2 linked regions of the Nothobranchius furzeri genome follow. The protein of the gene in region 1 purifies or fractionates together with the protein of each later gene. This does not show direct contact. Links are inferred from orthologs where the notes say so. Each region holds a gene or a part of one and is shown on either strand. Other genes may lie near its edges.

Region 1 (3,724 bases):
TGAGAATAACTTTTCTATAAGAAATGTTGCCAGCTCTGCATCTGTTTAGGTACGTCTGCAAACGCATGATTGACGTCTGCAAGTAAGTGGATGTCTAACACTTGGCTAATGCTGAGCCGTGCTCAAGTAAAATTGCACGGGGCTCTAAAGGACAGGGGGTGGGCTTAGCAAGAAAAATAACTGACATATTGTCTACATGGTAAATGGCTTGTATTTGATATAGCACCTTCTAGAGTCCAATCCACTATCAGTCATTCACCCATCTTCCCTGAACCAGAAACCAGCGATGCAGGAGGAAACAGGATAGTGCAAGGCCGTTTTCTAGGTTCAAACGTCTTTTGTTGTACGTGACTTCCAACTGCGTCAATGTCAATGTCAAGTTTATTTATATAGCACATTTCCAACAATCAGAGACTGCACAAAGTGCTGTACACAGACAAGCAGTTAAAATAAAATGATAAAACACTGAGAACCATCCAGTAGACCCAAAAATTAATTAACGATAAAATCAGTTAAAAGCAAGTGTAAAAAGGTAGGTTTTTAAAAGAGACTTAGCAGAAAGGCTGTTAGCAGACCCAATCTGTAGGGGAAGGCTGTTCCAGAGCTTGGGAGCGGCCACAGAAAAAGCTCTGTCGCCTCTGGACTTCAGCCTAGACTTGGGAACAGATAATAGATGTAGAGCGGATGATTGAAGGTTTCGTTTGGGGACATGAGTGTTTAAACGTTCCGACAGATAAGGAGGGGCCAAATTGTGTTGTGCCTTAAAACAGATCAGTAGCATTTTAAATTGAATCCGGTAAGTGATCGGGAGCTAGTGAAGAGCTTGTAAGACGTGTTATGTGATCTCTGTGTCTCCTACCTGTCTCCTACCTGTCAGCAAGTGAGCTGCCGCATTCTGAGCCACCTGCAAGCGGTGAATTGGCGACTGCTCCAGTCCATGATAAAGAGAGTTGCAGTGGTCTAATCTCGACGTGATTAGCAGGTGTATAACCTTTTCAAAGTCTTTGAGTGGTAAATAGGGCTTGACTTTACTGAGAACACGCAAATGAAAGAACACACTCTGGACAACAGAACTTATCTGTTTATCAAGTTTAAAATGGCCATCAATTGAAAAACCCAGATTTCTTGCCTGAGACACGCAAAAGGATTCTAATGGGCCAAATACACTGTTTACCCCGTGCAACAGCCCAGGGTCCCCAAAAACGACAATTTACATCTTTTGGTCATTTAAAGTGAGAAGGTTCAATTGTAGCCAGTTTTAACATCTTTTAGACAATTCAGTAATTTGTCAAACAATGGCCTTCGAGAATGTAGTGGGACATATATATGCACATCGTCCGCAAAGAAGTGATACGAGATGCCATGCTTATGAAAGATGGCGCCAAGAGGCAACAGATACAGCGAGAACAAGAGCGGGCCCAAAACTGAACCTTGAGGGACACCACAACTAAGTTTCACTGGAGACGAACAACACTGCCCCATATTTACTGCAAAAGTCCTGTCAGGTAGGACTTAAACCACTGCAACACTGAGCCCAGGATGCCAACGTCATGCTCTAGGCAGGATAAAAGGATCTGATGGTCCACCGTATCAAACTGTGTTTTTCTTTTTGGGACTCTGGTAGTTTGTCCTAAAGTTGAAGTGATAGCAGCCGGCTGTTTCTCCTGTTCTGATATTATTGAGTGGAGAACCTCTCACACCAGTGGTGATCTGTTGCTAAATACACGAGTGTGTGATGAACCGTGGAGGACCCAGGGGAGTGTGGTGGTTCTGAGAGGCCGACCACAGAATGGTCCAATAGGTGCTTTCAGTCCACTTTAATTTGACTTGCCTTGACATAATCATCAAACACCAGAAAGCAGCTTCCCGTTTGAACTCATGCATGCTGAAGACATAACTCCTCTTCAAACCCTGAGCTGCTCCATCACCTTCAGGTCCTGATTTTCTCTTGTCTAGCTGGTTCTGGTGGATCTCAGAGCTGAGCTAAAAATCTTGCAACCATCCAATCACATTGAAGTGATGTCATATCTCCATGACTCAAGCAGAAAGGGCCTGGTACTATCAGTATAATTCTCTATCGACTCACTGGCTGAAAGTGGTTTTTGCTCTTTCCAAAATGTTAGAACTCTAAAATGACTGTTCCATTTATAATAGATTTTATCATAAAACCCAGATTTATGCAGTTTGGAACATTTAAATAAAACTGTGCTAGAGGAAATATTTCCATATTGAGCATTGAATGTTTAAAGGAGGCAACCTCACCCTCTTCTTATAGTAAATCCTCCACTTGTGATACTCTTTGATCACCACTTCAATCCTCCTCTTCCAGTAACTGCCTTCCAGTATGATCGCCTGTCACCCAGAAGGAAAACTCAGTTCAGTTCAGGGACTTCTGCAAAGAAATAAACGTTTTCCCTCTCCCTTCAGAGACATCGCTCACTTCAGGTTTCCGATGTGCTTCTGCCTCCGAGCCTTCCAGCGGCGTGACAAACCCACACACTGGGTTCTTCCTTTTCTCCACATCTGAGCACAGAAATGATCAAACTTGTAGCTGATCTTTACATAACCAAAACGGAAAAGCAGTTTGTTTTGGACTTTACTTTGTTACTAGGGATGTCTCGTTCCGATATCGAAAATAATTCCTTATCGACCCAAAAACACTGTATCGGATTATATCGGACTGCATCAAAAATCTCCGATATAAGCAATCCGTTAAGGTTCACATTTTAGCAACCAATGGTTAAAAACTAATTGTTTTTTTTTTTCAAACTTACTGTTATTGGTTCTTGTTTTTCGATTGAGTAATATCACTTGATCAAGCCTTTCACACATTCCACACTACGAATCGTATCGGTATCGGTCAATAATGAAGGCTGCAATATTGGTATCGGAAGTGAAAAAGTTGTATCAGGACATCCCTAGTTGTTACAGATGATAAGAACCAAGAAATGAATGGAGAATTAAAAAATAGCAATTCTTAAATAACAACATAAACAATGGGAAACTATAAAACAGGTTTTTCACAAATTTACATGAGATTTGGAAAATAGGAGAATGTATTGGACAAGATCCCAAATAAAGGTGACCTTCTTATACGTCTTTCAATGGGTGTCATAAATAAGAACAGAAAAAATGGGAGTTCCTGCTTCTTCTCATCAAAAGGAGTCAGTCGAGGTGGTTTAGACATTTAACGACTCCTGATCACCTGAGGCAGACCCAGAACTTGGTGGAAGAGTTATGTTTCCACTTGGGAATGCTTCAGGATCCCTAGGAGGAGCTAGAGAGAGTCGGAGGATCACGGGATGTCTGTACTTCCCTCTGTAACCCAACCGTGTTACCCCCATCAGGAATGTCAGGAAGGTGAGGGAAAGTACGATGGCTCAGCTGCCGTGTCTCCAGATAAAATTGTCCCTTTCAGGATTTTCATATCAGCGTATTACGACTATTACAGCAATCTCACGATGCATGACATTTGCACAGAAAACAAGTGCCTTGAGATGACTCTTGTCGTGATTTGGCGCTATATAAATAAAATTGAATTGAATTGAATGACATCACTGATCAGCGCCAAAAGGCGCCCATGGACATTAGTGACATTAAGAGTATTATCTTGCCAACTTATGCTATTATTTAATCCACTTGGGGGATGGGAGAGCAGCTGTGTGATGTAAAAACCTCACCAGCAACTCCTACAGTTTTACAAATGCTGGTTGAAGACATCTAC
Region 2 (4,239 bases), on another chromosome or scaffold:
TCTTTGCCTCTACGTCATCATTACCTGTGTGATTCCTGGAGTTCCTACTATAACATCTAATGGATTTCATGTGCAGCAAAAGAGTGAAACTCACCAGCACTGCCTTGAAGCGCTCCTCCAGCTCCTCCTCTGGGGGCATGGGAAGTTTTGGGGGAGCCGGCTGCTTCTTCTGCGGAGTTAGCGTGGGGTCACTCATTGTTGAAGCTGCCCCGACGGAGTTCCTGGCCTCTCTGCCCTCAGTCGGCTCATGCTCCGAGCCCCCTACAGCCACATTCCCCATCACTAATCTCCAAATGTAATCCAGGAGGAAAGCTGTACACAAACCCCTTCACCTAAAACAGAACCAATGTACTCCAAAGCAGAGTGACCAAAGCTGACCACTCCAAATGACAAGAAGCAAGTCTGAAACCGTCAAGGTGAGGAACTCCAAACTCTAATTCAAGGAATCCTCCTTTGTCCTGAGGAAAGGGTGGATGGTGAAAAAACAAGGTATGCATTCATGTTTGTCTCCTCATTAACATCTCTTGTCTACAGGTTTCTGTCAAAGTCAAACTCTTTGTTAGGGTCTGCTACGAGAAATACTCAATGCACCTACGTCGCACCACACTGGCTGACTGAGAACTCCTCTGCTTGCTGAAGAGGCCAGTATGTGAGAGGAAGGAGAATGTGACACACTCTGTCACACAGACAGAAACCACAGAAGCACAAAAGCAGAAGAGTAACTTCCTGTGTGTGACTGCAACAAAAACCTGGTGTTCAAGACAAGGTGAAAGATAACTGTCAGCACTTGATACAGAGCCCAACATGAAAAAAAAACTAACACAAGACTAAAAAAGCTGGGTGGTTTATGTTTAACAAATATTAATTAAAAATACCTTTGCCCTGAACCCAGAGTTTCTTGAGAGTAGCCGCTGCCAGATGTATGTTAGTCACATCTGTTTGGGTGTCTGATGATCTCAGGTCATGTCAATAAGGTAAAGACAGGTTTATACCATCAAACCAGGTAAAACAGCGTCCTCGTGCGTTCGAGGCTAGTTACTGCGTGTAGTTATGCTGCGTTTGAGGTCTCATGGCTGTTATCAGAAACTTATGTATCTAAATTTTGTAATTCAACAATATCAAATACTTTTTCGAGACAATATATGATAACATTTATTTATTTATTTATTTATTGTTACAGTTATTTTCAAGCACTCTCAATAACGTAGGAGTTTCATTTGTGTACTTTCTAAACCAGTTTGTTGCTAATATTAATAAACAGTTGATGGCTTGTGTCTGTGTTGCAACAACAGAAGTAAACGTGTTCAGCTTTTGAAACAATATTTTTGTCTCTGTGCTTTTAGTCCTCTAAGACTAGAAGAGAAAATAGGAATTCCCGGGTCACGTGAAGGCAGCAGCACTATTAGTTTTTTAGCGTTTCAAAATGACGGACCCAGAGGAACACTGGAAAGTAAGTCACAAAACCCAACTTTTTCAGCCCTTGGTTCGTATCTTTGCGTTTGTGAGTGTGGAGTAGAATGTGATCAACTGTTTTCTCAACGCTAAAGTTGGAACATGGCTTCAAAAGCTAGCTAACATTAGCTTGGTGACGTATTGTAGCAGTTAGCCAGCATGCTAGTTAAGTAAACAAAGCCTTGAAAACGGAATTGTTTTTCCATATCAAATGAAGTCGTTTAAAACATATATTTACATGCACAAACAGCCAAGGAAATATGGTTATTTAGAACTTTTTGGCGTATTCTTAAAATTAGTCTGAAAATACTTTTTGGGTGACAACAGCAGCTGTATACAAACTAATATGTTAATAATAAAATATAAAAAAAGGCACTGTGTATTTTTTCTTGTAAGTTGTTTAATAGTCGATTAACAGTATTTTAAATCATTTTTATCTTCAACCTTCAGAGCAATGTTTATACAGGACTAATCCTCACATGTCTGATTCTTTATTTGCTGAAGACTGACGAGGCCTTTGAGGAGTTTCTCCCCCAGAATCAGGAGGAAATCTAGGCTAACATACATAACTACATAAATAAAAACACGGACTGTTGTGTTGTGCTGCACTACATCAAACAGCAGATCTGTGATTGAAGCAATTTTATCTTCTGTTCTTGAATTGGACAAATCAGGACAGTGCTCAGTGGGGTTTGGATTGGCTTGCTGTTTGTGTTTTGTCGACATATTTAGGGCAGCACACATTTCCCCTCCTCAACCCAATCTCACAGCTTCTGGTTTCCTTTTTCTTCTTCTTGGTGATGGCTGGACAGACAGACGGGGCTTTCAGTGACAGTGGGTTTGACACAAGTGAGTCATTTTTACTTTTCTAATGAATGCTTTTTCATTTTCACATAGCACATGATTAATTAAATCATTTTTGTTAATGGTGGGTTTATTTTTAACCCTTTTTATAAAATCTGGGTTGTTTTCCAGGTTTCTTTGCTGAAACTGCTAGAAAGGGAAGCATTGTTTCCAGAGCCAACAGTATCGGCTCAACCAGTGCCTCTTCAGTACCAAATACAGGTATCGTGTTTAAAACACAGATGATTTTATCTTGCTGATAGTTTATAAGTGTGAACGTGCCTTTTGACTACTCCTTATCCTTAAAGAAAAGGTTGAAACAACAAATCACAGAGATGGTGCCTTTATTTATTTTGTTTCCTGTCTCACATTCAAACACAAACCTGTCTGGTGAGTCTTGATGGTATTTCGTCTCATGCTTTAAAATCTAGTCTGGGAAGGTGAACTTGCCATATTTAATAAATAAACTCTCTATGTTCTACCTTTTTGCATTTGCTAAAAATCCGTCTATAATTTGACCGGACTGAAGCAAACATATATTTGCTGCTGAAACAGAAACAGCCCTGTGTTATATTGTAGAAGGAGCCAACACAAAAATGATGCAAGTTTTCATTCGATTTTAAGATTTACAAAATTAAAAACATCCGTCCATTTTTTCTCATTTTAAACTTGATTTAAATAATTTCTGTTTTTAAACTGACACCAGATATGTAAGCAAGAAAATAATTGCAAATGAGTTCATTGAGAGTACAGATGTCAGAGGCTTGTTCCCAAACAGATGATGAAGACAGCGATTACAGGCACGAGACGTCATTTAAAGACTCCTTTAAAGATCGCCGGAGACAAGCACACACTCAAGCTGAGCAAAAGCGCAGAGATGCAATCAAGGTAGGACTTCAGGACTCCAACTGACACACTTTATAAGAGTTAGATTTAAAATTCTGGCTGTTTAAGAGTTAATATTGATTTCTATGTGTCATTAGAAAGGCTATGGTGACCTGCAGTCCATCGTTCCTACGTGCCAGCAGCAGTCTGAGTTTGCAGTTGGAGCCCAGAAGATCAGCAAGGCTACTGTTCTGCAGAAAAGTAGGAACCTTTTGCAATTTGAACATTTTTACACTGAACTGTTGGTAGAAAAAAAGAACTCTGTACAAACAATAATAAAACCTTTTAGTTATTTTAAAATGTGCAGGTTATGCGTGAGACATGATGAATAGCCCTCCCTGCTGCTGTTCTTCAACTTTATTAGCCATAAAATAACAAATCAGACACTGTTAATAGGCTGAGCAGTTTGCATATATTTAAAGTAAACCTCCAGCCGCTGCCTGGGGAGGCTCCGACTCGATCTCTTGATCAGGAATCATTCGGAATCAGGTGGGAAAGGACGTGACCTTTTACATTCATCCTTATACAAATTTTTAAACTGAATAACAATGGCTTAGGTTGAATTTGAACAAGTTCTGCTACGTCAATATTCTTTGTTTCATAGAGAGAAACGTCACAAAATTTACAGACGTGGAGTTCAGACACTATAACATGTAGCTGTTAGCTAGCAGGCTAACACAGAGCTAACGTGTCGCCGTCAAGATGGTTGCAAACGTCGGGTCTCCTGGAGCCGCGGTGAGTTTCCTTCTCGTCACACGCAGCTCTGCAGGTGTTGAGCAGAGAAAAGTGAGTCTGCCGACCGTGCACATCATGCCATGCACATCACTCAGCACGGCGACGAGGCACCTTATCTGTTATTAATAATATATTCATATTATTAACATACTTTTAATCAATTCACTTCTTGAACGAGTGATTTATTTGGCAAATAAATTAAGGAAATGACAAAAATACCAGAAGAAATAAAGATGAATAATAAAGAGGAGAACTTGGATGTATTCTTTTTTCTTATTTTAATTGCGTTGCTGAAGTATCGGATCGGGACACGGTATCAGCACA

The links. Proteins that work in one complex are often made in the same cells at the same time.
Region 2: the proteins of carbohydrate-responsive element-binding protein (region 1) and mlx purify together in Homo sapiens (affinity purification with western blotting; 3 studies listed by BioGRID and IntAct, counting the BioPlex papers as one, with this or other methods). This does not show direct contact. The link is inferred for Nothobranchius furzeri from reciprocal best matches to the Homo sapiens genes MLXIPL and MLX.

What each region holds. Positions count from the first base shown.
Region 1 is NC_091750.1:66,106,719-66,110,442, forward strand, and holds part of carbohydrate-responsive element-binding protein, read right to left. Parts: intron 2,524-3,724; coding exon 2,441-2,523; intron 2,353-2,440; coding exon 2,263-2,352; intron 1-2,262. UniProt on the Homo sapiens protein: Binds DNA as a heterodimer with MLX/TCFL4 and activates transcription. Binds to the canonical E box sequence 5'-CACGTG-3'. Plays a role in transcriptional activation of glycolytic target genes. Involved in glucose-responsive gene regulation.
Region 2 is NC_091745.1:7,588,742-7,592,980, reverse strand, and holds the start of mlx (max-like protein X), read left to right. Parts: upstream 1-1,350; 5' UTR 1,351-1,423; coding exon 1,424-1,450; intron 1,451-2,184; exon of another isoform or gene 2,185-2,252; coding exon of another isoform or gene 2,253-2,264; coding exon 2,265-2,301; intron 2,302-2,427; coding exon 2,428-2,517; intron 2,518-3,073; coding exon 3,074-3,183; intron 3,184-3,278; coding exon 3,279-3,381; intron 3,382-4,239. Other genes in the region: fmnl1a (formin-like protein 1), read right to left, coding at 95-280. UniProt on the Homo sapiens protein: Transcription regulator. Forms a sequence-specific DNA-binding protein complex with MAD1, MAD4, MNT, WBSCR14 and MLXIP which recognizes the core sequence 5'-CACGTG-3'. The TCFL4-MAD1, TCFL4-MAD4, TCFL4-WBSCR14 complexes are transcriptional repressors.